2 linked regions of the Lonchura striata genome follow. The protein of the gene in region 1 purifies or fractionates together with the protein of each later gene. This does not show direct contact. Links are inferred from orthologs where the notes say so. Each region holds a gene or a part of one and is shown in the gene's direction. Other genes may lie near its edges.

What was found.
Region 2: the proteins of GATAD1 (region 1) and PHF12 purify together in Homo sapiens (affinity purification with mass spectrometry; 7 studies listed by BioGRID and IntAct, with this or other methods). This does not show direct contact. The link is inferred for Lonchura striata from reciprocal best matches to the Homo sapiens genes GATAD1 and PHF12.

The regions. Positions count from the first base shown.
Region 1 is NC_134603.1:133,629,964-133,646,648, reverse strand, and holds GATAD1 (GATA zinc finger domain-containing protein 1), read left to right. Parts: upstream 1-8,100; 5' UTR 8,101-8,163; coding exon 8,164-8,363; coding exon of another isoform or gene 8,364-8,367; intron 8,368-8,397; coding exon 8,398-8,608; intron 8,609-8,894; coding exon 8,895-8,954; intron 8,955-10,054; coding exon 10,055-10,238; intron 10,239-10,997; coding exon 10,998-11,188; 3' UTR 11,189-12,674; downstream 12,675-16,685. Other genes in the region: ANKIB1 (ankyrin repeat and IBR domain-containing protein 1), read left to right, coding at 156-289, 623-1,375. UniProt on the Homo sapiens protein: Component of some chromatin complex recruited to chromatin sites methylated 'Lys-4' of histone H3 (H3K4me), with a preference for trimethylated form (H3K4me3).
Region 2 is NC_134622.1:7,573,079-7,589,274, reverse strand, and holds the start of PHF12 (PHD finger protein 12), read left to right. Parts: upstream 1-10,209; 5' UTR 10,210-10,318; coding exon 10,319-10,384; intron 10,385-10,690; coding exon 10,691-10,872; intron 10,873-16,196. Other genes in the region: SEZ6 (seizure protein 6 homolog), read left to right, coding at 2,560-3,129, 3,202-3,335, 4,176-4,368, 4,681-4,866, 4,941-5,109, 5,490-5,656, 5,740-5,934, 6,103-6,241 and 8 more.

The DNA.
Region 1 (16,685 bases):
TGTGTAAAAGCTGATGTGGATAAGGAGCTGATGTGAATAAAGGAGTAAAATTACACTAGAATCCAAAAGGAAGGAAGAGATTCTGTCAGTAAATCATAGCAGAGGAGGTTTTCTCACTGGTTCTTCAACCACTTTTGTTTCGGTTGTCCAAACAGACACTCAGGAAGGTGGCAGCAGTAGAAGACATGGCACCTCCATGGTGAGTTCAGCTTCTATGGGTATTCTGCACAGCTCTTCGCTTCATGACTATACCCCTGTCAGTCGCTCTGAAAACCAGGATTCTCTTCAGGTATCTCCCCTAATCTCTTTTCCATTCTCTCTGCTTTGCTTGCTCTGCTCTGCTCTGCCTTTTGTGTCATTTTGTCTCTGCAAATTGTCTTAATTCTTCAAGGAAAAAGGGAGAATTACACATTCACAATGGTAAGAATTGCTGAACAATCACTGACATAACAATAGTTACCTTTTAAATTGTGTTGTCAGCTCTGTTGGTAAAAATTGATTCTCACAAAGGACATGTAGGAATAATGAATGAATTTCAGATCTGAGCCAGAATTACTTTTCATCCAAAATATGTAATAAGATCCAAGTTTTATTCTGAGAGCAACCTTATGTATTTCCACAGGCTCTGAGTTCTCTGGATGAAGATGACCCAAACATTCTGCTAGCTATTCAGCTGTCATTACAAGAATCTGGCTTGGCCATAGATGAAGAAACTAGAGACTTTCTAAATAATGAGGCATCTTTAGGAGCAATAGGTACCTCTTTGCCTACAAGACTGGATGCTGCTCCCATAAGTATGGACAACCCAAGGGGTGCTTTGAGCAGCTCTGAGCTGCTAGAACTTGGTGACAGTCTGATGAGACTGGGAGCAGGCAATGATCCTTTCTCAGCTGATCGTCTTCATTCCCACCCCTGCAGCGAGACAAGAAGTGGATTGTATTCAACTTCAAGCGATGCTGATTCCAGCAGTCAAGATCCCAATACCAATGAAAATCTGCTTGGAAATATTATGGCCTGGTTTCATGACATGAACCCACAGAGTATTGCTCTGATCCCCTCAACAAGTACAGAAACAGATGAGGAGTCACAGCAACCCAGCACTGAAGATCGGTCAGCAGGGCAACCAAATCTTACAGACACAGGGCTGGAGCCTCAGGAAGACCATGCACTGTTTGAGGATGCACTCAAAAACGAAGGCAGAGGAACCCAAACAGAGGAAAGCACTTCTGAAGAAAACATTATTCCAAGTGAAACAGTATCACAAATTGGTGACTGTAACAGGGAGGTAACAAGCACCCTAGATGCTTCGGGAGATAGTTCAAGTCAGACTCCTCAAACCTCAAGTGAATGGACTGAACACGTGCATCTGGTATGAATAAAAACTAAATCTGGAGTAAAAGAATGGCGGTGACAGATGGTACAGTATGTGGAGTAAGCATTATGGAGGCTTTGATCCACATAATTGCAGCTCAGTTGTAACCACTGACATAACAACGGATATTTAGGAGTTCTCTTGAATTGTAGTTCTTCATAATGATGTGAACCTTTCAAGGAATATCCTTTGCATTCAATTAGGTAGTATTTGCCTTTTTGCTCTCAAGAGAAAGGAATAAGTAGGTTGTATTCCACATTCCTAATACAATGCAGCATCTGTTTAGCCTTAGGTTGATGATCCTTAACTTGAAAGTACAGATTAAAGGCTTACACTGATTATTTTGTTTGGTTTTCCTAAGAAATAGTTTATTCAATTTTTTAGAACTCATAATTTCATCAAAATAACATCTAGCAGTTAATTTGCATTTTGGTTTTGTTTTCCATAACTTTTCCTTATTCATTTTTCATTTTTGTTAGCAGTGTGAACAGAAGTATTTAATGCTTCTCTCTAGTACTGCTCCAGGAACAAGTTTTAGGGGATATTCTTTCCCTTTAAAATCAAAGATTTTTTCATGTCTATTTACAGTCCAAATGTGCCAAACTGTGAAAAGTTAACTGGCAGTAGCCTAATGAAACAGTTCAGTGTTAGTCTATCCAACTAATCCCACAATTCTTAGCAATGGAAGAAACCACTGGGTAGCATTGCTTCTCCAAATTTAACTGGCATATGTTGCCATGGTGACTGCATTTAATTAAATGTAGCCTGTATCTTAAGTTAATAAAACCTAATGCTGCTGTTAAACAGTTATTTTAAATATTAAAATACAGTGAGTTAGCAACAGCTATGCTGTATTTTAAGAGACACTTTAATGGAAGTGCAATCATAGTTCTTTGTTTTCATAATTCTACAAAGCATTTTATGCACTAATAGTGCAATTACTTTTAATGATAACATTTTATAAAAATATAGGAATACAGAATTTTCATATATTAGTCAGTCCCAGAATTAAAAGTCCAGATAACACATCCTGCTCAACATGTTACGGTGCCTTTGCCTAACCCAACTGGATAGTTGCCACAGTTAAACAAGTAATTCAAATTCAGTGTTTGTTCTGGAGTAACTATGCTATTAATTGCAAAGACCTCCATAAAACCACCCATGGCCTTGCCTTTACAGTAAATAACTAAATGTACAGTCAGTGTTTTTGCATATACAAAACACTACTAGGTATTTGTTCAATTGCACAATATTCATTTGCTGTGTGATTACTGTTTAGTGTAAAAAAGAAAATTAAGAAAAAAAAAAACAAACCACAAAAAAAACTTTTCCTAGTTGTTGTACCGTGAAAAACAAAAATACTGGTTTTAGATTTGCTTAAAAGCATCAATCTACAGTTAGTGAGTTACAATGGTACAGTATGTAATTACAACTAGAATAAGTTGTTCAAATGGCTGTTTTAATTGCATATAATCAAAACTTTTCATAACATGAGCAAATAACATACACTCCATTTTAAGTTTTGCTTAACTGTTACCAGAGATTTGTTGATATGATATAAAAGTTTATTACTACTGAGTGTGTATAGGCAAGTGTCATGATAGCAAAGTTTATGTATTGATTACTGTGAGTTCAAGTGAGTGTTTTGGTAACTAATTCATGCAAATCCAGCTTTGGAACCTTGCAGTTACAAGGTTCATATTAGTAAAAAATGAAATAAGAATATTTTACCCTTACCCCATAAAAACCTTGTCAATTTTCAAGCATCTTTAGAGAGAATGCATTAGAATAGTCTAAATAATTTTCCAACTTGTCCTCTAGCCACCCTACTCCTGACATAATATTGAGCCTTTGAAAAATACCTATAGGTATAAAGTCTTTCAACTAAAACGGTCCTTCATGAACTGTCATCATGAATTGGTCTGAAAGTTGTTTAACTCACATAGCTTCCTTGAATGGTAATTTCTGAATAGAAAGATTCTCGCAAAAAGATTGTGTATTGCATTGAGATGTCTTGCAAAGTTGCAGTAAGATATGTAAGAGTGCTCTCTGTGAAGATAGTGAAGTTTGTGGGTTCTGGTTTTATGTAATTTGGTTAGGTTGTGCAGTATATCCATTGTTTCTGTGTTACTCTTATGAGCATGAAATTAGACTATTAAATTTGTATTTTCTTGGTACTTATTTTAACACCATAGTCATTGACTTTACAATTCAAAAATAAAAGTTTGGCAAGACTATTTTGTAAACCTGTTAATTTTATAATGTAAAAAAATTACTCTAACCTTGAATTGTTATTTGCACTTTCATAGTCTATACTTGATACATTCCCACTTTATATACAGGTAGGATACTACAACCATGTAGATGTTTGGCCAAATGAATGCTGTTAATAATATGTAAAATTCTTTGATTAAACATTTATTACTTAAACTAATTCCGTTCTGTCTCATTTCATCTTAGACTTAATGTAGGATATCCTTGAGACTGCTGACAGACATTTTTAGGGTATGTTCAGTACTATGCCAGATTAGTTGGACACCATGTAGTAAGCTGAATGTTTTGATACGTAAATACAGGGGACCATCACTAAGCTTTGAAAAAAATATACAATAGAATTTGTCTTAATTGCTACAGACATATTGTGCACTTGTTCTTTGTAGAGTGATGCCTTGTCACTATGAGTAGTGGTGCTAAAGAGGGGGGGCTAATTTTTGTGAAAGATTCTGTTAATTAGTGTTACTTAAGTGCCACTTAATATCCACTCTGGAAATTCCAGAGTGCCTCTGTTACATTAGTAGCACTAAACTATTTTGTTCATTGTTACAGTTACATCATCAACTTCCTCCACTAAGCATGCCAAGATCATGGAATCACAGACTGGTTTGGGTTGGAAGGGACCTTGAAGATCATTTTGATCCAATCCCCCTTCCATGAACAAGGACACCTTTCACTAGACCAAGCTGCTCAGAGCTCTATCCAACCCGGCCTTGAACGCTTCCAGGGATGGAGCATTCCCAACTTCTCTGGGCAACCTGTTCCAGTGCCTCAGCACCCTCACAGAAGGCATCCCACTGTAATAGTCAGGGAGGGTGGTGAGAAGCCAAAACATGGACACAGTAATAGCCAGTTTCTTTACAAGCAATTGTCTGGCTCAGGAGACAGCTTCAACATGCCTTGAAAGAACCAAATACTCATGATCATTTTATGTCATCTCTGTCATTGCTTTACCTACCCATGTCCCTCACGAGGGCCAAAACCCAAAAACCTCACAAAATCCAGGTGAATTCCTGGCTCTAGTACAAGCTTGAATGAGTAATTAAGACCCAAAAGCTGCAAAGACAGATGCATGTTACTTATGCGAGTAATAACTGTGTAACACATCTCAAGATTAACATCAGTTGTGGCCCAGGGAATTAAGGGAATAAAAACTGCTTTTCTCAAAAGAAAGCTGTTAAGTACAGAACCTTAGAACATAACCATGTGGAAATCCAGAGTGCACCAATCCATCAGATTTATACCCAGTTTCATGCATTTACAACACAAATATTTCTGGAGAAGCAGTCCATGTGCATCCTCTGCAGCTGACTGTGGAACAGTGACACACACATAAGAATAAAGGATTCTTCAGCTGTGAGCCAGCTGACTGTAGGATAGCAGTAAGAAGCTAGGAGGAAGCAATGCAATTAAATCCACTGCAGAACAATTCAACTACTGAAGCAGGAAATGAGCAGTATGTACGGATTTGCATCACTTCCAATAAAAACCATTCTCACTGAAAGCTCCTGGGGAGAAAGAGTTCTACTGACAGCCAGTGTGCCTGCCACAGTCCCCATCCATAGGTGGAACCAACATTTTATTTCCTCCACTTCTTTGTCGAGTCTACATTGGAAATTTCACAGAGCAGGGACGGGCTCTGATGACTCCCAAGGGCAGCCCTTTCTTTTACTGCGGGAAAAATAAACTGAAAATACACATTAACTGGAAGAGAACTTTTACTCTGCAACTTTAGCTGAGCTTACACAGCACAAAATGCCTCAGCTGCATCAGGCACTTCCAGTCAGGCCTCAGACAGAGTCAGCCCACTCCAGCTCCAAAGAGAGGCTAGTTCTGTTAAGGAGAATCAGGAAACTGAAGAGGATGCTCAGAATTTGGGATTGACGTTGTAAGGCTTGGGATCCTCTGGAGAAGAAGGTACTTAAGTAAAGTCCTGAGCCCCACCTCTCCTACCCATAACTACCAGGTATTCAGCAACTCTCAGAACATTTCAGCTGTTGCCCAAGATAGCTGACATGCTGGGTGTAATTTCTGACAAAACATCATAACCACTGTTCTTTGTGTCACCTTCCAGGTGAGGTAGGGATGAACAAACTGCACTGACAGCAATCCCTGCCTCTGATTTTGCACAAGGCCAACAGAATAATCATACCAAGAACACTGTAATCTCAAGGTGTTGTTTTACTGTGGTTCTATTGAACTGACAGAACCACACTTGTCAAGAAATAGTAAACTAAAACTTTCTGACAACATAAAAATGGTTGTCTAAACCAGTTTTTAATTATCTTAAACTACCACCGCAGATTACGTTTCTTAAAGATTAAGCTTTATTCATTTGGATTTTTTAAATTCAAGTTATTATTTAAAAGCAGAAAGAATAATCACAGTGGGTAATTTATCAACAATATACAGTAGCATATTAAGAGTATTCACATATATGTAAACCACACATATTCTATATTTGTGACAGAAAAGACCCTGCACATGATTTCATAAAGATCAAGGGGTTAGCAGTCTGGAGTCAGGAAGATGGTAGAACTGGAGCAGAAAAAAACAACTATTGCAATTTTTATTTGCTCTCCATTAACAATAAATATTATAATAAACTCACAAAAACTTTCACAAAGTATTGGATACTTACCTCGACAGAAATGGACATTGTCACTCATTTCCAGCCCATTTCTACACAGACTAGTGAAGCTCTGCCAACATGATGGCAGTCAGAGGGGCCCAGACTCCTGAGGTGGGTGGTTGGGAACAAAAGCAGGCAGACGCTACAAAAAAAAAGTGGGAAGAACTTAAGGGTTCTGAGAGATCACTGATCTGCAAAATACAACTACAGAGAGATGCATTAAAGAAACAGAAAACAAATAAAAAAAAAAATAAAAAAAAAAGCACCCGGTAAGTATAAACAGCTTGAAAAGAGATGAGGGCAAATGAAGATTTAAATCAAAATTGAGGAATAAAAATTTGGTGCCTGAGACAAGAAAGTCAAACTTGGTGTGAAAGAGGCATGCAAGAGGTTAAACGTAGCTGTCTGTGAGCCAGTAGCAACACAGGCACACCCTGCATCCACTGCATGCTGCATGAGGGGAACATGTATTAATAGATTCCTGCAAATTATGGCTCTTTGTGTCCACTGAGGACAAGACAAAAATCAATTTCATTTGCACCAAAGAAGCTTTAAATAAACTGAATATGGGAATTAAAAGACTGCAAATCCTCATGCATGACTGGGCATTTCTTTCATAATATCTGACTAGAAAAACTTCTACAAGGGATGGCCCATGGCCACGTGAGTGGCAGTAGGTGAGGAACCACTATTAGATCCATGGTTCCTACTACATTTGGTTCTCAAAGCTTCACAAAGGCACATGTTCATTCCCCAGCCTTTTAAACTACTTGATACGTAACTGAGGCTTCATGCAAGAGGGGCATAGAATCATAGAGTGGTTTGTGTTTGAAGGGGACTTTGAAGATCATCTAGTTTTAACCACCCATGCCATGGGCAGGGTCACCTTCCATTAGCGCAGGTTGTTCAGAGCCCCACCCAACCTGATTTTGAACATTTCCAGGGATGGGGCATCCACAACTTCTCTGGGCAGCCTGTTCCAGTGCCTCACCACCTTACAAGCAGAGGATTTTTTCAAAATATTTAATCTAAATGAAGGCAAAAACTGGCATATGTTGAGGTTAACATTCACCAACACTTTCTTCTGAATCAGGACAATCATTGCAGTCCATCTCCAGTTCCCTGATTTTCTGTTGAGCCAGAAGAGTGACAGCTGTAAATCCTTGAATGACAGCACCTGGCATCCCCTGCAAACAGCAACAGCATCAGAGGTGGCTTCTGCAGCACAATGTTAAGGGTTGGAAGCTACCTTAAAGATCATCTAGTGGCAGCCCCCCTGCCATGAGCAGGGACACCTCCCACGACACCAGGTCTTGCACAGCAAAGGTCTTACCCAGCACAGTTTTGAACACTGCCATGGTTGAGGCATTCACAGCCTCCCTGGACAACCCGTTTCAGTATGTCACCACATGCACAGTAGAGAATTTCTTCCTAATATCTAATCTAAATGCTCCGTCTTTCAATTTGTACCCATTCTCCCCTGTGCTGTTCTGCCACTGCTGTTCCTGACAGAGTCCCTCTGCCTCCCCCGGACGTTCCCTTCAGACGCCGAAGGTGCTGCGAGGTCTCCACACGACCTTCTCCAGGCTGACCAGCCCCAGCTGCACCATCGGGGCCGCCCGTGCCCGCCTCCGACCCCGCCGGCACCGACAGGCCAGCGCTCTCCGCGCCGCGGCCCCGGCCGAGGCGGGAGCAGCCCCTGAGGGGCCGGGCCCCGCCCGTCCCGGGCCGGGCTCGCCGCCGCCAGCAGAGGGCAGGCCCGGCCCCGCCGCTCCCGGCCCGCCGCTCCCGGCCCGCCGCGCCACATCCGCCGCCGCCGGGAAGCGGCCGGCGCCGCGCTCCCGCCGCTCGCTGTCGGGCCCGCGGGCCCCGCGCCGGCCTCAGCATGCCGCTGGGGCTGAAGCCCACCTGCAGCGTGTGCCGCAGCACGTCCTCTTCCATGTGGAAGAAGGGCGGGCAGGGCGAGATCCTGTGCAACAACTGCACGGCCCGCTCGGCGCCGCCGCCCCCCGCCGCCTTCGCCACCACCTCGGCGGCCGCCGCCCAGCACAGCAACAACGGCGGCGGCGGCGGCGGCGGCGGCAAGCAGGTCAGGAGGCCGAGGGCGACGGTGGCGGAGCCGGCGGGGCCGGGCGGGGCCGGGCGGGGCTGCGGCCGGGGTGCTCGGGCCGTCCCCCTTGTGTTCATCCCGCTGTTCCCCGCAGAGCAAGCAGGAGATCCACCGCCGCTCCGCTCGGCTCAGGAACACCAAGTACAAGTCTGCGCCCGCCGCGGAGAAGAAGGTTTCCACGAAGGGCAAGGGCAGGCGGCACATCTTCAAACTAAAAAACGTAAGGCGGGGCCGCGGGTGGGTCGGGAGCCTGCCCCAGGCTGGGCTGGACATGGAGCCCGCGGGAGCAGCGGGAAGAGAAACCGGTCAGGGAGTTCAGCACTCGCTTCTCCACATAAATCCTGGAGAGGGAAACGTCAGCTCTGTTGCTTTGAGCTTTAAAGTAGAAGTGTTTGCTAGTTTTCTTATGTATCTGTATGTTATCTAAAAGAAAAATCCATTTCTGGAACTTTATGGTTTATTTGTTTTAATGCTTTTGATTTTCTGTTTCTGTATTCTTTTCTTAGCCAATCAAGGCTCCTGAGTCCGTATCCACTATAATTACAGCAGAATCAATCTTTTATAAGGTATGGTTTATGCAAATCTATTTGCAAAAATTATTATCCTGTTTCTGTTTCCAATGTTAGGAATTATCATGGACAGTGAAAGCACTAGAGATATAATCACAGAAACTGTTCTTCCTTGCCTAACAGTTGTGTAGGATTTTGGTTTGCCATAGTTATTGCCATTAAGTCTTGCAAGGTAGTCTACCTAAGTTTAAATAGTTGCCATTTTCCCAGGTTTTTCTCTTCCAAGCAAAAGTACTTTTTTTTTTTTTTTTTTTTTTTTTGTAATTATTGCTGTCAGCATTTTTAAACTTAACTTGCACTGTGCAGAGGTCAGGTGACTAGAGACGATTATTTAGATTTGTTTGATATTTGCTGTCTTAGGTGCAGAATATATTTCGCATAGAGGTGGGGTTGCAGTGCCCCAGTATCTCAGCTGGCTCCCATTTGAGAGCTGGTGCAAGCAGTCTCAGACACCCTGGGAACAAGATCTGTTGGCACTTGCAGTGAAGCAAGAAGGAGCCTTCTCACCTTCATGCTTGAGAGCAGCTTTACCAGCATGCCAAGGTGTTGGTATTCTAAAGCACTCAAATTTGCTTTTGTTTCCCAGCAGTATAAGCAAACAGAATGTTTTTTCACCCTCTTCCTCTCCAAAAAAGTCAGAATAGGCAGTGGGAGACTACACAGCCAGTGGTGGTGTGAGATTCCATATACTCTCCAGGGACCTGATGTTTCATGCCTGGCATTCCAGATGAATCTCGTTTGCTTTTGACCAGTTCAGAAAAGAATTACTGTCATGTGTGTCTGTTTTTATCAGAAATTCCTAAGAACTATGTCAAAATTTCTGTTCTCATTATGTAGAACATTGCTACTTTGATACTTTGCAGTGTTGTTGTGAATAAGTTTGTTTGGGATTGTTTGTGTTCTTTTTATATGTTTTGAAAATAACCACCTTTCTTTCTTGTGCTACCATTCTTTAGCATGTGGCTAAATTGAAGCTGCCTTTCAAGAGTGGAATAAATTAGGATAATTTAGAGTACTGCTACTTAATACATGAATCAGGATGTGAAGCTGACAAAAATCAGGTTGTTTGATTTCAGTGCCATTTGTATGTCTTCTAGGGTGTATACTACCAAATTGGAGATGTTGTTTCAGTGGTTGATGAGCAGGATGGAAGAACATACTACGCTCAGATCCGTGGGTTTATTCAGGACCAATACTGTGAAAAGAGTGCTGCACTAACCTGGCTCATTCCTACCCAAGCCAGCCCCAAAGACTGTTTTGACCCAGCATCCTACATCATAGGTAATCTGTAAGCCTTCACGTCATGCAACTACTTGGATGTGCCTATGCTAATGCAGAGTTGTATTTTTTAAATCAGCATTTTAGCTTCTCAAGGTATTTTATGCAAGTTCCACATTTTAGACTCTAATCTTGTAAACATCTCATTTACTGTAATAAGACTTTTTATTTATCTTGTGTATATAATATGATTACCACTATTGTAGTGTGTGATTATCTGAGTGTTTGTGGGTAGAATTACAGTTGTGCATCTTTAAGGATCAAATTATTGATTACTATTATTACTATTATTTATTATTATTATTACTGTTATTACTATTGATTAAACTATTACTACTATGTTTAAACCATAGTAACTTTGATTCTGATATACTAGTCCAAGTTGCTTATTTTAAAGTGACCTGAATTACTTGATCTTTATCCTGGGTATTCAAAATACATAGCACCAGCATAGAGACTGTTCTGCTATTGATGATAAAATAAGGAATTCAGAAAAGTCCCTCTAACAGGCAGAACACAAATAGAATGTATTTTAAATATGTTAACTACAATAGTCCACTCAAATACCAGAATGCTTCAAATGGGATGGGGGGGAAGATCAGCCCAGCAAAATTAAAGGTAGAGGTTTATTGCCTAAAACAGGAGGAAAGTCATGGATTGCAAGGGCAAGCTCTGTAAGGGAATGTTGGCTGTTGTGGCATATTTTTATTCAACATACTTAGTTTTATGTCTCCAAGTTATGTCTTTGAATTTTTTTTCTAGGACCAGAAGAAGATCTCCCAAGGAAAATGGAATATTTAGAATTTGTTTGTCATGCACCTTCAGAATATTTCAAATCTCGATCATCTCCCTTCCCTACTGTTCCTACAAGGCCAGAGAAAGGCTATATATGGACTCATGTGGGACCTACTCCTGCAATCTCCATTAAAGAAACTGTAGCCAATAATTTATAGTTTTCAAGGAATACTTTGGACTAGTTCTTTTGTTTGTATCCTCCAATTTGTAAACACCTTACAAAAAGTTTTAAAATTATAAAATGTGCCGGGTTTTTTTAAGGATTATGGTATTTATTTTTTTCAGATGTATCAGACCTTTGAAGTGAAAATTTTCATTCCAGTTGATGCATCATTTCAGTGCTTTGCTCTTCAGAAATTATTGCTGATCTTGGGACAAAACCAGAAGTTTCATGTCATCTTTGATGTCTGTAGCATTCATTCTTACTTTTTAAGTTATTTTCCAGAAGAGGAGTTTAAAAGATACAATCATCCAGCATTTTATATAACTGTTTAATTTAGTTAACTGTGACTGCTGGTTTTTGTAAAATAATTTAAGACTAGCTTCACCTAAATCCTGAAATGGTCAGTGATGCAGTTAAGTTTTCTGTTACATGGAGAGAAGTGATCTTCCTGGATTTCTGCAGACTGAAACCTCATCCGTAAAGAGGGACGCTAACAGTCACCTTTTATGGAATTTTGTTGATCTGAATCTGTAATTGGCCTATGTGTGTAGCTTTCTGCTAAACTTACTTATATAAGGGCATAAATTTCCTGGAAAATTTGATGCAAATTCAAAAATTAATGTTATTTGCCATCCTGGCATCCTTATGGCAGAAGTGTATTTGCATTTCCTGAGCAAGCCAACACTGACACATGATTTGAGTTTCAGACTGTTAATATTTGTTTGCTTGTTAGCTTTAGATTTTAAATTGTTTTTTCAGTCTTCACAATTAGTGATGGTAAGAAAAAAAAAAGTCAGGCAATTAAAATGAAAAATCAGTAAGGGAAATAAAAATTAATTAATTTTATGTATTGACAGTCTCAGCATGACAAGGAATGTGTATAAACAGCAGAATGGGAGCAATGCCACATACTAAAATACCAACGAAGTTTTCTGCCCTAAACTTTTTACAAGCCATTCAGCTCCAAACACAATGAGATGTGCTTGTATGGTTTGAATTCCAAGGGTATTGTATGAAAGCATTAAAATGTTGCACTAGGCTTATATTCTAACTTTATGAAAGGCTTTGATTTAACATGTAACATTTGAAAGTCTCAGGTATTGACAACTTTTAATACAGTGGGACCTGTGAGGGCAGGAACCAGACAGATTTGTTTCAGCCTGCAGCCTCTGTTCTGCCCTCTTCAAATACAAGGAAGAACAATCAGCCTTAGGGGAGTAGATGCTAAAATTAAGGGATACTGTCAATAATTCAAAATGCTCAGGAATTAGCAGTAGATCGGTAATACAGAGTTAAATCTTAGTCTTCAGTAGCTTAGAAAGATGAGATGTGTGCCTATGTTCCGTGTGTTGCATTGATTAATCCCAAGTTGACATCACTTCTCTCCATTCTCTCCTTTCAGTTTCTCTGGGTTTTTTCTTCTTATTTCTTTATTAACAATTACAAGAAAATAAAAATAACAAGTCCTATATTTACAGTAACCAGAGTGACTCCCTTGACTCAAATCTTTGACTTCCTTTCACTGCAGTCCACAAGGTTTTCACTTGGGATCACTCTAAAATCCCTGTGCTGCCTCAGCATAATCCATGGACCTGTCTTCTTCTGTGGGCTGTCTTACCTTATATGAATTACCAGGGTTGGAAAAGGCCTTGATGGTCATTGAGTCCAATGAAGCTTAGTTCATTGTCAAATCCTCATAGGAGTAACAATGCTCTACATGGTTTTGATTTTTTGAGTTCCTACAAGGAACTCAAACCAAATGAAAAGTACTTTTTGCCATTTGCCTTATTTGTCAATAAATTGTAATATAAAAGGGAAAATTACAGAATATACCTTTCTAAAATTCAGTGCTGCTGTCAATTCAAGTATTATGGTTCCAACTGCAGTCTAAACAGACAAAAATATTTTTTTTCAGAGAGCTATAGAACAACTTCCTTTAGTAAACACTAAATACTTTTATTTTAGTGTAGTTTTTATTATACTAGGAAATGTTAAAAAATAATTCAGATTAACAAGAATTCTGAGTGTAAGGTCTCAAAAGAGACTGGATCTGCAGGCAGTGACTGTTACTAAAGTGTTAAACTTCATTTTTAGGTATTTGAATGGTTGCACTGTCTTGTTTTTCTTGTGTTCAGAACATCACCCAGTAACACAGGGAGAATGATTGACTCTCCAGACAACTTCTTATGGATGGACACAGCTGAAGAGTGGGACCTCCAAGAGCAACATATCTGAAAATTCTTCATCTCTCTCATATTAGGAAAATGGAGGACAAAATGAAGACCAGCAAAATGGACTCAACAGCAGAAAGAATATCAAAGGATCCTGTAGGGACAGGCTTTGATGCCCTGCAGCTGAGGGAGCTGAGCTCACCCATTTCTGTCTTCTAGCTTGGTAATTCCCCATGCCAAAAGGTAGGTAGGTTTCATATTTGTATCACTGGACTGTGAGTGGATACATTGCCACTGAATTTACGGCCTTGTGTTGAGCTCCAGAGTTTTGTGACCAGCCAACGGTAATTTTCATCAAGGCATTTTAATTCTAAAGATATAACTTGTAGCCAAGACCTAAAAGCCACAGAGCATATATAAAATACTGAGTACCACAATAGACACGTGGCCTGTGCCCTGAGGCACACATTGCAAGACATTTGTGGGAGGAGTGCCCTTAACTTTCACATGAACTTTACTGTACCAAAATAATACTTGCTGGAGAAGGGTTTCCTTTTGGGCAATGGCTTTGTTGGGAGCCGAATACTTTCTGGGAAAATATGATGCAAACACAATGGATAAATAAGTATGCAGCTCCTTGAGCTCCTAAAATGAAGCTGGGGTTCCTCTCTTGCTGCTGTGCTGTGCTACATGGCAATCATCTCAGTCATCCTGCAGAGGCTGGATTAAGTGCCTGCAGCTCAATATCCAAGCCAGTGCAATAGCTTTGCTTTCATGTAATGCAGCCCTCAACTTTAACATTAATATTATACAAGAAGCAAAGCATACATTTATTGTGGTTGGTGGTATATGATGTATTATGATTAATAAAGGCCTTAAATAGCCTTGCAGAGCTGAGAACAAAAATATTAATAGGTGTAGTATTGAAGTTTCAACTGCTCTTTACAGTTACTGAATTAGAAAGACAAATTACAATTTTATTCTGTTTTCACACAGTTAGATTTGGTACATCTGTTAGGAGACTACAAAATTATGGAAGATGAACATTATATGCCCAAGCAGAAACACTTTTACAACAGTTCATAGTTGTTAATAGTTCTTTTTGTGTGCTCCCCACTACACAATCTCATGATCACTGACAACAGTATTTTGTATTTGGCAATTGTTTCTCTTTCACCCACACAGTCACACTTACTTTCAGGAAGACTACTTTACTTTTTTTACCCAGCCCTTCTAGTTGGTGATTTGTTATTCTTGAATTTGGCCTACAGCTTCTTTTCTAGTTTGGTAGCTTCAATCACAAGAACAGATTCATGGACAACATCTACAGGTGGTTCATGCATCTTTATGAAATGCTTAAAGTGCTTCGATGTCTATTTAATCAAACAGAAGTATTACTGGAATCTAGTTTTGATAGAAGGTTGTTTTATCCTGAACATATCAAGACTCTCCTGTGCAGGGCATTTAGACTCAGAACAATTAACCCAGGCACCTGTTTACATATGGCAACTGGGCTCCTGCAACGCCTTTTGAACTCCTTCATTTAGGGAGAACAGCGCAGGAGTATTCCTCTTTTCTCATGAAGCTGTCTAGAGGCAAAGTTGTCTCAGTAGTTCCACCTGTCTTCCTACACTCCATCAGTGTCCATGGGCACTTCTTTGCTGAAGGCCATCACACCTCTCTGCCTTCATCAGTGTAAGGTACCCTGTTGTAAACTGCCTCTGTCAACTGATCCAGGATTGAAACACACAAAATACCTTTCCTTTTAACACAAATCTTCCCCTAGGGAACTTGGATAGGAATGTTTAGTTTTGTATTCAGATGATCATACCTTTGATAATAATCCTTCTCAGTGTATGTACAATTCTATGCAATCAGTGTTCCCTTTCTTTGCAATTAGGTTACTTTTGTGTAAAATTACACTGTAATGCTGCTTGTGGTAGTGAATCTGAATTATGTAAGCAGAATTTGGGAACCTCTTCTATCCTAAGCCTAAATTTGATTTCAGTAGGTCATTAAGAAGTAAAGCAAAGAGTAACCTGTCCTTTTAATCCGTGTGCCCTTCTCAGGTATCTATTTCCCAAATTGTGGGAATCCACATACAGAATTTTCCACTTACCTCTCCTTAAGGAGTTTCTTGGAGCATTCTTAAGGGCTCTTTTTCTAAGCTATGTCATAACAGACCACTCCTAGGCAAAGTAAAAGACTTGTCTCTTTTTTATGAGAAGCTGATTGCAAACTGTGGAGGAAATGGAAGTAGCTTTGGCATTTATTTTTGGCCAAAACAAAACCAAAAGGAACCACTTCACGACTGCAGAGTTTGCAGAGCCTGACTGTGGCTTAATTGCTGCATTGATAAGTGGAAATGATATGTTGAAACTTAACATATCCATATAAGGCTATACAAAGGAACAAATACTGGGACAGTGCCAGGGACACATATTGCAATGTACTTTCTTGGTGGGCTTTCTAGTCAAGCTTAACCCAGCAGCTACTGAATAAGTTGAGACCATCAGGAAAGAAGCATCCACTTCAGCTTTTAGTGGCCAGTAATATTTTTTACTCCAAGGTCAAAGATAGAAAAAAAGTAAAAATGTCTCTTCTAGAAAATTACTGGAAAAGACAGTGCAAGATCTGGGAAAAATCTGTTTTAAAAAAATCTCTTGTCAATTTGGTTTTACCCACCCACATTCCTGCCATCAAGGAGTGGCATGTGTGACAGGCTGTTTGTTTCTGATATCCCCAGTTCTGCTCTATCCATGCAGTGGGATCTAAACAGCACATAACATTTGACAGCAGACATGCAGGAACAGCAAGGATTTTTTTGAAGGAATACTTTCTGAAGTCTCTGTTTCTTCTCTAATAACTTCTAACATTCAAATTCCTCTTAACAACAGGCTGGTGTTTAATGGGGGATAATCACTGAGGAGTAACAAGCACTAGACCCTATCACATTGTTTTTTCTTTCCTTTAACAAGACATTTAGTCTGCCAAGTACAGTCAAGTTTTGTGAACGTCTTCTGTAGCATTTTATTACCAACCTTTGTTTTTCACAGGCCTGAAAAGCTCACTCAACAGGGGTGTTTTGCTGGTGGTGCTGTTTCACTGTTCAGTCCCTGTCAAGGTCAGATGAATATGTTGAACATCACGGGTGTGTTCTCCACAGCACTGGTGTTACACACTTGCAGTGCTGGGGCACAAGCTCTGGGCTGGCCAGTACAAGGCATGGATGTACTGAACAAGTCCAGCAAAGGGCCTCACCTGTGAGTGGGAGACTGGAAATACAAGGAGAGGGTGAGAGCTGGGACTGTTCAAAATGCA
Region 2 (16,196 bases), on another chromosome or scaffold:
CTGTGGGTGCGGGAGCATGGTGTCGGCTGCCTGACAGCTCATTCATCACAGCTGCTGGCCCTGACCATGGGGGCAACGCTGGATTGGATTCTAAATTAGAAAATAAACCTAGAATCTTGTGAGGCCCTGCCCTCAACCCCGTGCCAGGCACCCGCCTGCCTGCACCTCCCACCTGCCCCCTCCTACAGATGGGGAAACTGAGGCATGGAACGCCGCTGTGCCAGGGTGCTGTGATGCTCCTGGGGCCGGCAAGGGCCCTGCCCTGTTTCCTCCCTGAGTCGGGCACTCTGTTATTGCTGTCTTGGCGGGCAGCATCGATCGGGGCTCCCTGGGCGGCCGCGTGCCGCCTTATTTATTTATTTGTGACAGCAGGCAGCATCGATTCCCGCCGGGGGGGCCGGATTAGTCTCTGGCATCTCCCGGCTGCTGTTAATAAACTCCTGCCCGCCAAAGCCAATGGGAGGGATTAGGACCCATCCCGGCTGTGACCGTGGCCAGCATGTTGAGGGACCCCAACAGGTACATGGCTACCGGGGGCTTGGCAGCCCCTTTGCCCACCCCGAGTTCAGCGGGGTCGCTGTTGGGGGGCAGGGCCCAGAGGGGTGTGTGCTGGGTAGCCAGCCCCACGTCAGCAGTCCCTGGTCACCTTGGGGACATGGGAGGAACATAGCTGTGGCACTGGAGATAAGCTGCTTAGAGACATCTGCGGAGGATCTAAGACTGTGGTGTTCACGGGGCATGGGTGGCAGCAGCTGGGCACCCTCTGCCTTCCCACGGTGTCCTGAGCATCCTGCATCCCCAGAGGACCGAGAGTCCCAAGCATCCCCTCGGTGCCAAGAGCATCCTGCGGTACCCAGAGCCTCACACAGAGCCCAGGGCAGGGCCTGGTGCCAAGACTGCCCAGCCCAGGGCCCTCAGTGTCCAGGTGGGACCTGTTGTAGGGTCCTTGCTGTGAGGCTGACCTTAGCCAGTAGCCTCCATGGGAACCACCATGCCCCCCAGCACTCATGCTCATGGACAGGAGTGTCCAGGGGTTGGGTGGGCACCTCTAGCCCAGCCTGCACCACACAGGGCAGTGCTGGTGGTGCAGGGCCCAGCCCTGAGCACTGATCTGCTATTAAAGCCCAACAGAGATTTTGGTGCCCTTCAGTATAAACTCATTAACTTTTATGTTCTAATAAACGGAACCCATTAAAATATAATTCTGGCCTTGCTGGGGTGCAAGCAAACCCCTTGGAGCTGGTGAGGGCAGGTGTCCCTGCTGTGCCTCAGTGCCCAGGGCATTATCATAGTCCCGGCACGATGGCAGGGGGGTGCTGGGGACAAGGGGTGGGTAGCAGCGGTGTGAGGATGCCTGCCAGCACCCAGCAGCTCCCCACTACGCTGCACACCCAAGATAATGTCTCTTAATAGTCCCTTAAAAGCAGCAGTCGCAGAGTAATTAATCTTCGCGGGGCCCTGCCCTGCTAAGGATAGGGATAATTACCCGGTAATTGGCAGTATCGTGTCATCAGTGCCTGTGCACGGTAGTCAGACGTGCCCACACTACCGTGGCCTCAGAGGGATGCTGGGTGTCACCATGGCACCCCGGTGGCACTGAGCTGTGCCCAGCAGGAGAGGGGACGGTGCTGTGCCGGATCCAGGAGCGGGAGATGCTGGGTGACTCATTAGGGCTGATTAAATTCTTTTATTTTTGGTCTAAAGGCCGTAAGCTGCTGGGCTGGGCATGCTGGGGATTTGTTCAGGGACTAATGCCTGGGAGGGACACGGGGGTGACAGGGGAATCCCTATGGCTGTGGGTGGGAGAGGGGGGAGCATCGATGGGATGGGGGGCTCCCGACAGACCCACACTGCTCAGGGACAGCCTGCCTGGGAAGAGGCTGAGCTCTCTGGCAGCCTGGAGAGGGGTGCAAGTGTCCAGGCTCCCGAGACATTCCTGGCACATGTGGTCATGGTAATCACCTGCATATCTGCACCTTGGGAATGTGCAGACCCAGGAGAACCTTGGCACGGGATGGCCACTTCTGCGGTGAAGGATAATCTCTGACCAGGGATACCCAGCCCCAGGGCTGTCCCCATCCGGGGTGGGCAGCCCTTCACATGGTACATGCTGCAGATGTGCCTTAATTAGCCGGGGCTTAATTGCTAGGGCTGCCCCAGTGAAGGGTATGCTGGGGAGAGGGTGTCGCAGTCCCGCTGTGTGTGGTTGATGCATTTGTTTGCCAGCCTGGTTTTGGGGGAATACTGGTGTGCAGGGAAGCGTTGGCCCTTGGAGCAGCGCTGGGCTGTGGTGCAGGGCTGGCCCATGGGAAGTGTTGGTCCCCAGAGCAGCACAGGTGTGTGGCAGTGCAGCAACATCACTCCCCAGAGCTGCATCCACACCTGATACAGCACCAGTCCCTGTCCAGGCCCTGGTCCCGGGTGCCACTGAGGGCACAGTGCTGGTCTGTGATGAAGCATCACCCCCTGGTGCATCACCAGTCCCCCGTTCCCTCTCAGTCCCCAGCACAGCATCGCTCCACATGTTCCCCAGCATCCCAAACTCTTTCCTCCCTCCAGGCTTCAATGGGCTGGCAAGGAAGACAGGGGAGAGCGCTGAGGTGGAGCCGACGGCGCTGCCCACGCCGGCGGAGCGGGAGGCAGAGGCTCGCTTCGTGAGCACGGCGCCCACGCTCAAGATCCTCAACCACCACCCGCTGCTGGAGGACCTGCTGCACGAAGCCTTCCTGAAGAAGGACTACCTGGCCCAGGCGCCATTCCTGCCTGCTGGAACGGGCCCTCTCCTCCCTGCTGGCGCCCTCCAGCCTGCCCCCGGCCCCCCAGAACCTGAGCCCTCACCCCGCACCCCTGCCCTGCCCCGGCCTGCCTTCCCCACTGACCCGCTGACCACGCCAGCGGGGCGCCCCGGGCCGTGGGGGGAGGCGTGGGGGGCTGTGCCAGGTGCAGACCCCTCGTGGTCCCCGTCTGGGGTGCCAGAGTCAAGCACTGCATCCCCCAGCCAGGCCTCCACCACGGCCAGCACATCCCTGGCACCCCGAGCTGGGGCCACCGTGGTGCCTGGGGATGAGGAGGGGACCACCACCACCTCCACCATCACCACCACCACTGTCACCACACTGCAGGGGCCAGGTGAGAGCCAGGGAGGGAGTCAGGTGGAACCAGGGTGAAGTGAGGCTAAGCTGGGGTTTCTTCTGTCACCAGCTCCCTGCAACCGGACGCTGGCGGGTCCCGAGGGCTGGCTGGTGTCCCCAGAACCAACTGGTGTCCCCTATGATGGCAGCCTGGACTGCACCTACAGCATCTCTGTCTACCCTGGCTATGGTGTGGAGCTCAAGGTGAGCTGAGGGCTGAGGGTGGGCCAGACAAGTACAGACAAGTGTGGTGTGCTCCCTACTCTGTGCCATGGCTGTGTGTCTGTGCAGGGTGCAGCAAACACGTGGTCTTGTCCCTGTCCTTGTCCCTATTCCTGTGTCCCCATGCCAAGAGAGCTGGCTCAGGACACTGCCTACCCTCAGGCCCCGGCACAGGGATGTGGGTACATGAGCTGGTGGGATGCCCCAGGATGCTCTGTGCCCACCAGCTGCTGTGGCTGGCACCCATCACAAAGAAGTGCTGTGAGATTTAATTAACGAAGCCCTAATGGAGAAGGTGTGAGCAGTGCCAGCAGGTGCCATGCTGTGCTGCAGGGTCAGGAACACCCAGCACCCATCTGCCAGGAGCAGAGGCTGACAGCAAACCCTGCTGTGCTGAGGCCTTGTGCTGCTCCTGGCAGTGGCAAATGGCCACGTGTCCCCATCTCTGCTGAGGCCACCGCAGGGCAGTGGCTGGTGGTGAGCCAGAGGCAGCACGTCCACCACCAGCCCCGCTCCAGCCCGCACTCACCAGTCCTGCTGCTCCTCACCATGCAGCACGGCTTAATTAGCATCATTAATAGCAAATTGCTCCAGAGGGCAAGGCTGGCTGTCTGCAGGGCTGTGCTGTGGTGCTCTGGCAGAGCCGCCGGCTGGGCCCTGCTGCTCTTGGCGTGGGGGATGATTTATGGCACTGCTAACCATGTTTGAAAGGTGCTGCCCTGCACAGACAAGCTCCAGTGGGCTATCGACCGCAGAGAAGCCACTCAAAGACCAGCTCCAAGGCAGGTGATGCTGTGGTGGTGACACTTGTGTCCCCTGCAGGTAGAGAACATCAGCCTGGCAGAAGGGGAGACACTGACAGTGGAGAGTGCGGGGGGCCTGGAGCCCAACCTCCTGGCCAACGAGTCCTTCCTGCTGCGGGGCCAGGTCATCCGCAGCCCAGCCAACCTCCTCACCCTCCGCTTCCAGAGCCCCCGGCCCCCCAGCCCTGGTTCCTACCACTTTCACTACCAAGGTATGGGGCTCAGGCCCCTCTGTATCCTCTGGGAGCTTCCCTGCCAGCGTGGTGCTAATTTGGATTGTGGAGAAGCACCTGGAGTTTATCTGTGTTTTAAGTGGGCACTGACTAGGTGAGGAACGCTCACGGAGAGCTAATTGGCCATAGCAGTTATAGATTAATTGAGCATAATTCTCAGCAGCCATAGGCACTGTGTCACTCAAGCCCTGCCACACCCAGGCATTTCCAGGGCTCTGAGGAGGCAGTTTCTGGGTTCTGGGAGGGGTTCCATTGCTCCTCAGCCTTGGTAACACCACCACCTGCCCCCAGCCTACCTGCTGAGCTGCCCCTTCCCAGCACGGCCGGCTTTCGGGGAGGTCTCGGTCAGCAGCCTGCACCCTGGCGGGGACGCCCGTTTCCGCTGCTCCACGGGATACCAGCTGCAGGGCGCCCGCCGGCTCGTCTGCCGCAACGCCACTCGCCCCTTCTGGAGCGCCCGTGAGCCCCTCTGTCTCGGTAAGCACGGGCACCACGGGGACACGGGACGGCTGGCACGGCAGCATCACCCGCTGATGGTCCCTCTCCCCCAGCGGCGTGTGGCGGCGTGGTGCGGAATGCCACGGTGGGACGCATTGTCTCGCCCGGCTTTCCCGGGAACTACAGCAACAACCTGACCTGCCACTGGCTGCTGGAAGCGCCGGATGGCCACCGCCTGCACCTCCACTTCGAAAAGGTGTCACTGGCAGAGGACGATGACAGGTTTGGCACAGACTGGGGGGGCTAGGGGTGTGGGGGCACCCTGGGGCAGCCCCTCACGGGGCCATGTGCATGGATGAGTGCTCTTGGCTATATCCAAGGATGGGTGCCATTGGCCCTATCCTAAGATAGGATCTGTCATGGATGGGTGCCGTTAGTCACATTTAAAGATGGGTGTTGCTTGCCATGGCCAAGTGTGGCTACCTTTGGCCACTGGCCATAGTCAAGGTGCTGTTGGCCACATTCAAGGAAGATAACTTCTGGCCATACCCAAGGATGGTGCTGTTGGGAATGGCTGGCGTTGGAGGCTACCATCCATGCCCAAGTGTGGCTGCTGCTGGCCATGGCCAGCAGTGCACCCTGGCCTTGTCATGCCTTGTCAGGCTCATCATCCGCAACGGCAACAACGTGGAGGCACCGCCGGTGTATGACTCCTACGAGGTGGAGTACCTGCCCATCGAGGGGCTGCTCAGCACCGGGCGCCACTTCTTCGTGGAGCTCACCACTGACAGCAGCGGGGCCGCTGCGGGCATGGCGCTGCGCTATGAGGGTATGGGGCCAAGGGTGTAGCGGGTGACCCAAACATCCCTGTGCCCACCTGGCTCCTGCAGACCTTTGCCCCTGTGCCCGCAGCCTTCGAGCAAGGGCATTGCTATGAGCCCTTCGTCAAGTATGGGAACTTCACGACCAGTGATCCCCGGTACCCCGTGGGCACCACGGTGGAGTTCAGCTGCGACCCTGGCTACACGCTGGAGCAGGGCTCCACTATCATCGAGTGCGTCGACCCCAGTGACCCACAGTGGAACGAGACAGAACCAGCGTGCCGTGGTGGGTGCTGGTGCTAGAAGGTGCTGGGGGTTGCTGTGTAAGGGGCATGAGAGATACTGCAGCCACCGTGCTGTTGAGTGTGATGGAGCTGAGGGACATGGTGGGTGCGGGATGCGGGTGCTGTGGCAGGTGCCCCGTGGCGGTGCCAAACCCGGTGTGTGCCCACAGCGGTGTGCAGCGGGGAGCTGACGGACACGGCTGGAGTGGTGCTGTCACCCAACTGGCCAGAGGCATACGGCAAGGGCCAGGACTGCATCTGGGGGCTGCACGTGGAGGAGGACAAGCGCATCATGCTGGACGTCCGCGTGTGAGTGCTGGGATGGGCCGGGATGGGGATGGTGGGATGGTGGATCTGTGTACTCCCTGCCCTCACGGCCCCACTGCCCCAGGCTGCGGCTGGGCTCGGGGGACATGCTGACCTTCTACGACGGGGACGACCTGACGGCGCGCATCCTGGGCCAGTACACGGGCGCCCGTGGCCGCTTCAAGCTCTACGCATCCACTGCCGATGTCACCGTCCAGTTCCAGTCCGACCCCGGTGCCGGTGCCTTTGCCTATAGGCAGGGCTTTGTCATCCACTTCTCCGGTGAGGCCCGTGGTGGGACAACACCCCTGGTGTCCCCAGTGTCCCCACTGCCCTGCTCAGCCTTCCATGCCCACAGAGGTTCCCCGTAATGACACCTGCCCTGAGCTGCCAGACATTGCAAATGGCTGGAAGACGTCCTCACAGCCAGAGCTCCTCCATGGCACTGTGGTTACATTCCATTGCTACCCCGGCTTCCAGCTGACTGGCACGGACCTCCTGATGTGTCACTGGGACCTGACGTGGAGCGGTGACCTGCCCTCCTGCGAGCGGGGTGAGTGGTGCCCACCAGTGACCCCCTGCCCTGCAGCGCATCCCCAGCTGCTGTCACCACCGGTCACTCCTGCCTGCAGTGACAACCTGCCGGGACCCTGGGGATGCTGAGCACAGCCGCAGGGTGGTCTCCAACCCTAAATTCCCGGTGGGAGCCACCGTGCAGTACGTCTGTGACAAGGGCTACGTCCTGGCGGGCGCTGGGACCCTCACCTGCCATGACCGCGCTGCGGGGGGACCCAAGTGGAGCGACCGCCTCCCCAAGTGCATCCGTGAGTTGCGTGTCCCCTCCTCGGGCATATCCCCCGAGCCGAGGTCGAGCGCTGACGCCGCCGTACCCCTGCCTCGCAGCGGAGACCTACGAGCCCTGCCACAACCCCGGCGTGCCGGCGGGCGGGCGGCAGAGCCCGGAGCGGCGGCTGTACCCGGCGGGAGCCACCCTGCGCTTCTCCTGCACCGCCGGCCGGGCGCTGCTGGGCGAGAGCAGCCTGCGCTGCCTGCCCGGACACCCCTCCCGCTGGAGCGGCTCCCCTCCCATCTGCAAGGCGGGTGAGACCACCACCCCCCACCCCGGCACCCCGCCGGCACCGCTCAGCACCCCACTTCTCACCCCTGGTGTTGGTTTCTTTCTCCCGCCTCCTCCAGCCTCCTACGATGAGTTTTACAGCAACCGCAACCTGGATGGTAAGGGCGAGGGTGTTTTGGGGTGCCAGAGCGTGGAGGGGCACCCAGGGTGCGGCCGATGTGGGGTGTCCCCTGGGTGAGCCCCCAAATGTCCCTTTCGGACAGCTGTGGCCAAGGCCGTGCCCTCGGGGACAACGCTGGAGGGCACCAACGTTGCCATCGCTGTCTTCCTGCCCGTGCTGGTGGTGGCCCTGCTCATCGGGGGCATTTACCTCTACTTCTCCAAGTGAGTGGCCCGCTGGCCCCTGTCACCCCATGCGGCCCCATGGCCCCCCACTACCCACCCCAGCTGCCCTTTCCCCACAGGCTCCAGGGGAAGCCGGCTCTGCAGCTGCCCCTTGCTGGCTCCCACCCCTATGACCATATCACCGTGGAGTCGGCTTTTGACAATCCCACCTATGAGACAGGAGTAAGTACTGGCCTCCACGCCCCCCGTCTGGGGCTGGGCACCCTGGGGACCCTGCACTGCATGGGCCACCTGTGCCAGGGGCTGTGCATGGGCTGGGACGGGTGTGGGATGGGGTCATGTGTTCCAGGAACCACACATTATTTAGGAGACGCATCCAGGAACAACACAGGGGATGGGACATGCACCCAGAGACCACCCATGGGATGATGTATATCAGGATGGACATCCAGTTGGGGACCACACACAGGACAGGACATCAACCCAGGGACCACATGTGGGGTGGGATATCCATCTAGGCACCACACATTGGTTCAGACAACCATCCAGGGATCACACACACTATCTGGGATATCCATCCAAGGACCATGTACAGGATGGACGCTGATCCAGGACCCATGGATGGGATGGGACATGCATCCCCAGGGCTGTCGTAGTCTGGGATGTGCCCCCAGGTCTCTACGGGATGGGAGATGCCCAATCCCTGTCCCAGGCACCCCGTTGCACTGCCGAGTGTCCAGCCCCTTGCAGTCTGTTTTCTTTGCAGGACACGAGGGAATATGAGGTGTCCATCTAGGTGTGGGCAGCGTGGAGCTGGGCGCTGCAGCCACCCCTCCCGGGCCCCCCCGTGCCCACCGGCCCCCGGCACGGGCTGGGAACACCTCTCCCAAGGAGACTCAAGCCGAGCGCTTGGCAGGACCCACCTGGGCACCGGCCACCCCCCTGCCACCCCCAATTCACCCAGACCCCCGTGGGATCTGCCCGAGCCCCACTGTCACCCAGCCCCCCGCACTGGGCTCGTGAGAGGCTGAGCCAGCGGGGGTCCCCGGACCCCATCCTGCCCCCTGAGCCAGCGGGGGTCCCCGGACCCCATCCTGCCCCCTGAGCCAGCGGGGGTCCCCGGATCCCATCCTGCCCCCTGAGCCAGCGGGGGTCCCCGGATCCCATCCTGCCCCCTGAGCCAGCGGGGGTCCCCGGACCCTGCCCTGCCCTTCGGGCTCCATCCTTCCCCCAGACCCCGCAGGGGGAAAGCAGCAGCCCCACAGTCCGTGCGGCGGAGGAGTGACACGGGCAGGGGGAGCGGCGCTCTGGGGACCCACAGGTAAGGACAGGGCTCCCCGGAGCTGCAGCGAGCAGGGGACAAAGCCCCGGGGGTGGCCGAGGGGCTTGGGTGGCCATGTGGGTGTCCCCCCGCCCCCCACCCAGCACACAGGGCTGGTCTCCCCACGACCCTGTGTCTCCCAGCGCCGCCACGCAGGGACGTGTCCCTCCCGTGTCCCCAGCATGCTGCGTGTCCCCCCGGCCCCCGCTTGCTTCGCCCTCACCGGGGGGGTCCCTTCCGCCACCAGCGTGTCCCCAAGGCGCGTCCCGGCACCCGGAGTGACGGGGCGGGCAGGGACACCGGGCATGGCTGTGCCGCCTCCCACCGCCGCGTCCCGCCCGGGCTGGTGGCCCCGGCCCCCGCCGCCCCCTCGGTCTGGAGGGGACGCCGCCCCCCTCCCCATCTTTTGGTTGTTTCATTAATAAAAAATGGTGTTTTAGAAGAAGCGATGGCGTCTTCTTCAGCGGGGCCGGGCAGCTTGGAACGGGGATACACCCACACATACCCCCCCCACCCCACCCCAGCGTGGGCCCTGAGCCCACCTCATCCCGACCCCCATGACACCGCGACCCCCACGCCCCCTATCCGGTGCGCTCCGGGAGGGGAGCACTGCCGCTTTAAGAGGCGTGGTCTCTGCCGGGGTGACGTCACGAGAGAGGCCGCGCGCCGCGCGCCCCCTGCCGACGGGCGCGTGCCCCGCCGCCCCGCCCCGCGCCGTTACGTCACTGACGTCCCCGGTGGCCCCGCCCACTCGCTGGAACGTGACGGCCGCCACGCGCCTGCGCGAGAAGGGGGCGGGGAAGGGGCGGGGAGGGGCGGAGCCGCGCGGGGAGGCGGAGCCACTGCGCGTGCGTCCCGCCGCCCCCCCGCCGCCGCCGCCGCCGCCGCCGCGCCAGGTCCGCGCGCGGGAGGCGGAGCGGAGCGCGCAGGCGCGCGCGGGGCGGGCGGGGCGGGGGCGCGGAGTGCGCGTGCGCGCGGGGCCCGGAGCGTCGGCGCCGCCTGTGCGCGGGGCGTGCGCGGTGCGCGAGCGGCCGCGGCGGGCGCCGGGCCGCCGCCCCCTCCCTCCCTCACACACCCACCCCCTGCGCGGCAATGGCAGCGGGCGTCGGGCCCCCCGTGGCCGCCCCCGGGCACGGCTGGAGGAGGAGGAGGGCGACGCGCAAGCCGCAGCGGCCCGTGGGATAGGCCCCGCCGCCCGCCCGCCCCCGCCGCGCCGCGCCCCCCCCCCCCCCGCCGCCGACTCGACGCGGAGCCGCCGCTGAGGGGCCGCCGCACGTCCCCGCCTCGCTCCCTCTCGCCCGGGGGGGGCTCTCGGGGCCGCTCCTGGGCTGGATGAATGTGGGAGAAGATGGAGACCAAGACGATCGTCTACGACCTGGACACCTCCGGGGGGCTGATGGAGGTGAGGCCCGGGACGCGGCGGGGGGAGCCGGGCCGGGGGGGCAGATGGCGAGGGAACCCCCCCAGCCCGGAGCCCCGTGGCCTTAGAAGGAAGTGCGGAGGGACGGAGGCAGCTCGCCCTGCCCCTGGAGAGGCCCTGCCGGACACTGGGCGGGCGGGGCGGGCCCGGCCGGGGCTCTGTCCCCCCCGCGATCCCCTCCCGGAGGGCCCGGGGTCGCTGTCCCCCCGGTGGGCTCGGGGAGAAGGGCGCTGGGTCAGCGTCCGTGCAGCCCCTCAGAGCCCGCTCTGTCTGTGTGTGCATGTGCAGCAAATCCAGGCCCTCCTGGCTCCCCCCAAGAGCGAAGATGGGGAGAAGAAGAGCAGGAGGCCCGAGAAGGAGCCCAGGCGAAGTGGCAGGGCCACTAACCACGATAGCTGCGATAGCTGCAAGGAAGGAGGGGATCTGCTGTGCTGCGATCACTGCCCCGCCGCTTTCCACCTCCAGTGCTGGTAAGGCTTGGCGCTCTCTCCCTCCGGATCTGCCCAGAGCACCTTCCCTCCGGCCGCTCCCGCTTCCCGTTAGGTCCCGGGGAGGGGGGGGACGTGGGGCCGGCTGGAGCAGACAGGAACAAAAAGGAGGTGCAAACCCCGCTTCGGTCCATCCCTCCTCAGACTTAACCCACGGCGGCCGAGCTGAACCCTCCTCTGGCTGCTTTCTGGAGGGTTGGGGGTCCACCCTCCTCCTTTCTTTTTGTGCTGAGCAGCGGGCGAGAGGCCTGGAGGAGGAGCGAGGCCGCTGGCTGCGCGGCCTGGCTGCCTTGCTGCTGCCCCTGCCCGGCCTTCCGCCCTCCCCAGCGGGAACCTTCCCCACTCCCCCCTCTCCAAGGGTGCCTGGCTTGTGGGAGACCCTCCGGAGGGCTCTAGCTGGAGAGGGGGAAACCCTGGTGGCGTCTCCGCACCAGGCCTGACGTTCCCAGCGCTTCCGTGCTGCTGCAGCTGCTGGGAATAATGGAGGTTGCTGTCTCTGTGTCTCCCTGCCTCACTGTTTACAATATGGCGACCTTCCTTTAAATTATATTTTTATTCTCAGCGCCATTTTGGCTGCATATATGACTTCCAAACCCTCGCAACACTCCCCACAGTATCTCAAACGTGAAAATACCTTCCCCGTGGAAATCCAGGCCTCCAGGCTTTAACGTTGGCCGGGTTTATTCCTTTCCCTCCTTTTTTCTCTTCCTCCTTGCTCTTCCGACCTGCTTGCCTGCTCCGTGGGGGTGTCTGCCGTGAACTGGGGGGCTGCCGGGTGCTCTTGCTGGGAGTTGTGTGGCTTTGTTGATGAAGGCAGAGCTTTCTGCATGCAGATCTGGCTGCCGGCTGGGAATCGAGGTGCGTGTGGAAGCGGTGGCAGAGCTCGAGGTGCTGGAGGCTGCAGCAGGATGGGCTCTTGCTGCCTTCCCTCACAGCTTCCCAAGCTCTCCCCGCACAAAGCGACACCACGCCAAAAGCGCCTCAACTTTCCGCCCCAAAGTTTTTCCTTTTTCTGCACCCGGAGCTTGGATGCATCCTGAAATCCCCCCTTTCAACAGTTGACAGAGGCGGGCGGTTTGTGTTAAATTAGCACTGCCAGAGAGGATAATGGAGTGGAGGAGGGAGCGGGGCAAGTCAAACAGCTGGAGCTTGGGAGTACAGAGTATTCTTCCTTAGGGGAGATTTTTTAACCACATTCCTTTCTCTCTTTCATGCTTTGGAGCTTTGTTTGCCACCCTGTTACAGCTGTCTCCTCTGCGCTTTTTTTCCTCTCTCTGTTGTTTTTTTTTTTCCTTGCTTTTTTTTTCTGATTTCCATTTGCTTGCTGGCTATTCTGTATTTCTATGCTAATTGAGGGTCTCAGAACACTTACTAAACTGGTTGCTGATAGCAGGGAAGCTGAGTGTGCGGTCACAGTCCTGTAGGGAGTGTCCCGTTAGCAGCATGTAGCCAGGCAAAGCCGACAATGCTGTAGCATGCAGCCATGACATCATCCCTCCTACCCTGAGGAAGTGCTACTGGTGGTAGTGCAGATCCTCTAATATTTCCTAGCAGGATAGTAATTATCATTATTTTTCATCCAGTGTCCTTGATGAGTTTTAATTTAAGGGTGGTTTTTTCCTTCTGCCGGGCGTAGTTGTTTTTGGATGCAGCCAAACGCGTCCTGAGCGTTCTCCTAGCGAGGCTGAAACTTCCCATTTTGGGATGGAAGAGCTGTGCCTAAGGCTGCAGAGTTAACTCTGAATCCTAGCTAAGTCTGACCATAAATGACACCACTTTTTGCCTAAATTTCATGGCTTAAGTTGGCGTTGTTTTTGTAGTTAGTGAGTAGGGAACAACCAGGTAAATCAGATACCTGAAAAGCTTTCACTGTACCTGAGCTAGTTGCATTATAATTGTATAAGAATTTATATAAAAATATTGTATAAAAAATACATATATATATCTTTGGCTAACTAGTCACTCTTCAGAACAGAAGTGAAAGAGCAATTCTAAATACTCTCTTTCACTCCATTTGTTGCCTCTTCTGGGGTTTCTCAAGCAATCCCTTTGACAGTAGCCCAGACCCTGCTGTGGGAGGTGGCACAGTGTGGAAAGGCTTTGTCTAAAGGCCTCCAGCTTGGGTCTGGTTCTGCCTCCCTCCTCCTGAACCTTTGTTGGACCCTTGGCTATGGCCTTCAGGTGACCTAGGTTGTCTCAAAGGAATGCTCAGGTTTTGTTTTCATGTGTCTTCCTATTACCTCCTACACTTTGCTGAAAGTAAACTTCCATTCTGGATATAAACTTAGGCATAAAGAAAGGCAGCTCTTGCAACTTCCTTTCTGCCTCCTTTTTTTTTTTTATTTAAAGAATAGTAGCTGTACTGGAAGGCTCGGTTTAAGTCACTTGAATAGCCCTGCTGGAGCACTCTTAACTGATTCGTGTCAACAACTTACCTGTTCTCTGAATATTTATTGTGAGCTTTAGTACCAAGTTGAATTTATTATCAGTATAGCACAACAAAAAAAAGTAGCTTTTAATTGGTCTAGGGTATATGAGCAGTTGATTTCAACTGTCTGGGAGAGGCCATATTACAAAAGAAAAGGATTTTCAGGGGTATGATTGGCTCAAGTCATGCAGTCAGCTGGAGACAAACCCAGCTCAGCTTCGCAGGAACTTGTGTTGCTCCTTCCTGTGTAGAGAAGGTTCTTCTGTATCAAGATGTTTAAGGCTATAGTGAGTAAGTTGGCTTTGCTAGGTGTGTGACCCTCAAACTTCAGCAGTTTGCCTTAACTTCAGTTTAGCACTTGAACCCGTTGTCCTCTGTGGAAAACAGAAGGCAGAGGCCAAAACTCCGGAAACGTTTGGAGTCTGATAGTATTACACATCTGAGATGGTAAATAACAAGTGTTGTTGGTACACTGTGGAACGACTGCTCTCCTGAATTGACGTGGGTGGAAGTGACTTCCCAATTCATCTGTTGGGGTGTCAGTTTTTCCCACAACTCCATTTTGGAGTCACTAGTTCAGGAAAGCTGCTATGGGTGCTCTGAGAAGCCAGAGGACTCCAGCCTGGCTGGAGATAAACTGGCTTGGTGGGAGGGATACAGGAAAGTGTGAAATCCCTGCCAGATACTTAGTTTCAACATACTTGGATTAATATCACAGTCAGGTGACTCTCTTCAAGTTTGAATTTACAGAGGAAGGTTTTTTGGGTCCCTAGGAATTCTTGAAAACAGGACATGGGATTTTTAGCTCTGAAGTTGTTGTCTTGTTCTGCTATTTGCCCACAATCTGCTGCTTTGGGTAACAGTGCAGAGTGCATTTCCATCCTGATGTTCTGCCTTAGCCCAGGCCCCCAGGAATGGTGCATACTCCTTCTTTACATGATTGAAAACCAATTTTCCAGTGCTACTTCTATTCTTTCCCATTTATATCCTCCTTCTGGCAATGTGATTGTTAGAATTCCCTATGTTTTCTTGAGCTTGTAGTAAACTTGATTCACATTGAAGTGGGTTTGCAAAGTGACTGATGTTGCAAATTCATTACGAAGGATTAGAAAGATCCCCGGGAGAGGAAAAGTTTAGTTAACAAGCTGGGGGAGGGGAGTGACAACAGGAGGGAGAACCAACACAGAACAGTTTTGTGTTTGTTTTTTTTTTTTTCTCCCTCTTTTTGTTTTTTTAAAAAGTCTCCCTGCCTGAGTTTCTGGTTGGAGGAGCCCAAAAGCACAAACCTCGCTGAATGCTGCGGTTCAAGTCCCTCTTGTAAAAATCTCATGCCGCTGGCTGTGCAGCTCTGCTGGCATGGCAGAGTGACCTCAGTCCCTTAAAGCTCACCAGTTACGTAAATGACAGTGCCAGTTTTGTGGCACGGCTCAGCAAAACGTTTCCTTGTAGCTGGGCTTCCTCACTGCTGTGCTGGGAGAAGTGTGTTCTGTCCGTACCAGGGCCTGCTACCTCCATCAAACTTTTTGCAGCACCTCCTTGTGTTTATATTTGCAGTGTTTGGCTCATTTCCCCTCCGATTTGGCAGTCTTCACCCAAGTGCTGGTGTCAAAGAACAGGAGTAACAGAGCTGCAAAGTGCAGCAGAGGAAGCTAAACTAGCATTTTGGTATTTTCTATGAGTCACCTTGTTTTAAGTGCTTCGAACAAAGAATGGAAAAAAGTTGTGTTTGGCTGGTAGGGCATCAATAACTCTTTCCTCACCTTATTCGGCCTAAAATGCCCTGTTGACTTGTTCCAGCTTTGGATTTTTACATGAATATGCCATCTGTGAGTGGAGAAAAACAATGGCCAGTCTGTTGTCTCAGTTAATCCTTCCATTAATGGTCATCTTGGGCCTGCCTCAGGTGTTCCAGGTGAATCTTAGAATGGTCTGAGGCATCTCCTGCTGCAAGGAGTAGCAGGATGTCCAGGAAGATGCTGGAGAGGCAAACTTCTTACCTAATAGTGCCTAGGAACGGGTTTCAGTACATCAAATTACATCACAGCTTCAAAAAAGCTTGTCATTTTAAGTGGAGGAAGCTTTTATTATGAGGCTTTCTGTTTATTTGGGTTTTTTTAACAGTAAATGATTGGCAAACCCCTACTTTAATGTTTATGTAATTGCATATTGAAGGTCAGAGTAAGCTGTTCTGTTCCCAACATTTAAATGTATCTATCTTCACCGATACTTTGTTAAAACAATATTGGTTTAAGTATGTGCTTTTAAAAAAACCCCGACTTTTGTTTTTATGTGTCGCTGGTTCTGATATTTTGGGAGACTTGGGGCCAGCCTAGGCTGGATCCTGAGGCAGGAGGAAGTGATTGCCCTGGCTGAGTTTCTGGCAGCAGAGGGTCACTGCGTGTGCGCCTGCAGATGTGGTAACATGATCAGTCTTGGCAGCTCTGCTCAGCAAAGTTGTACCAGTGAGATTTTTCACTCTCCTTATTTTGTCCTAAATCTCTCTGTGCAAAGGCAGATAAGGTCAGCCTAAATCTATGGACTTCAGCTGGGGGCTTCAGCAAATCATTCACAGTACGAATTTGAGGAACTCGTGATTGGGTGACTGGCAAGCCACCACTCTCACCTGGGTGTGGGGATGTTGCTCGTGTTAAACTGCGCATGAGCAGATTTTGCACTGTGGGCAAGAACTGGGGATTTGGATTGAACCGTGGGTCTCTGCTGCAGTTCCCAACATCAGTGTGGAGTGATAGGGGCATGGCTTTGGGATTCTAAAGTCGAGGATTCAAAGTTGAGGAGGGGGATGTTTAGCAACTTGACTTAGGCTTTGCCTTCAAGACGTGGCTGCTGCATGGACTGGTGTTTCATCAAACACCTGCTT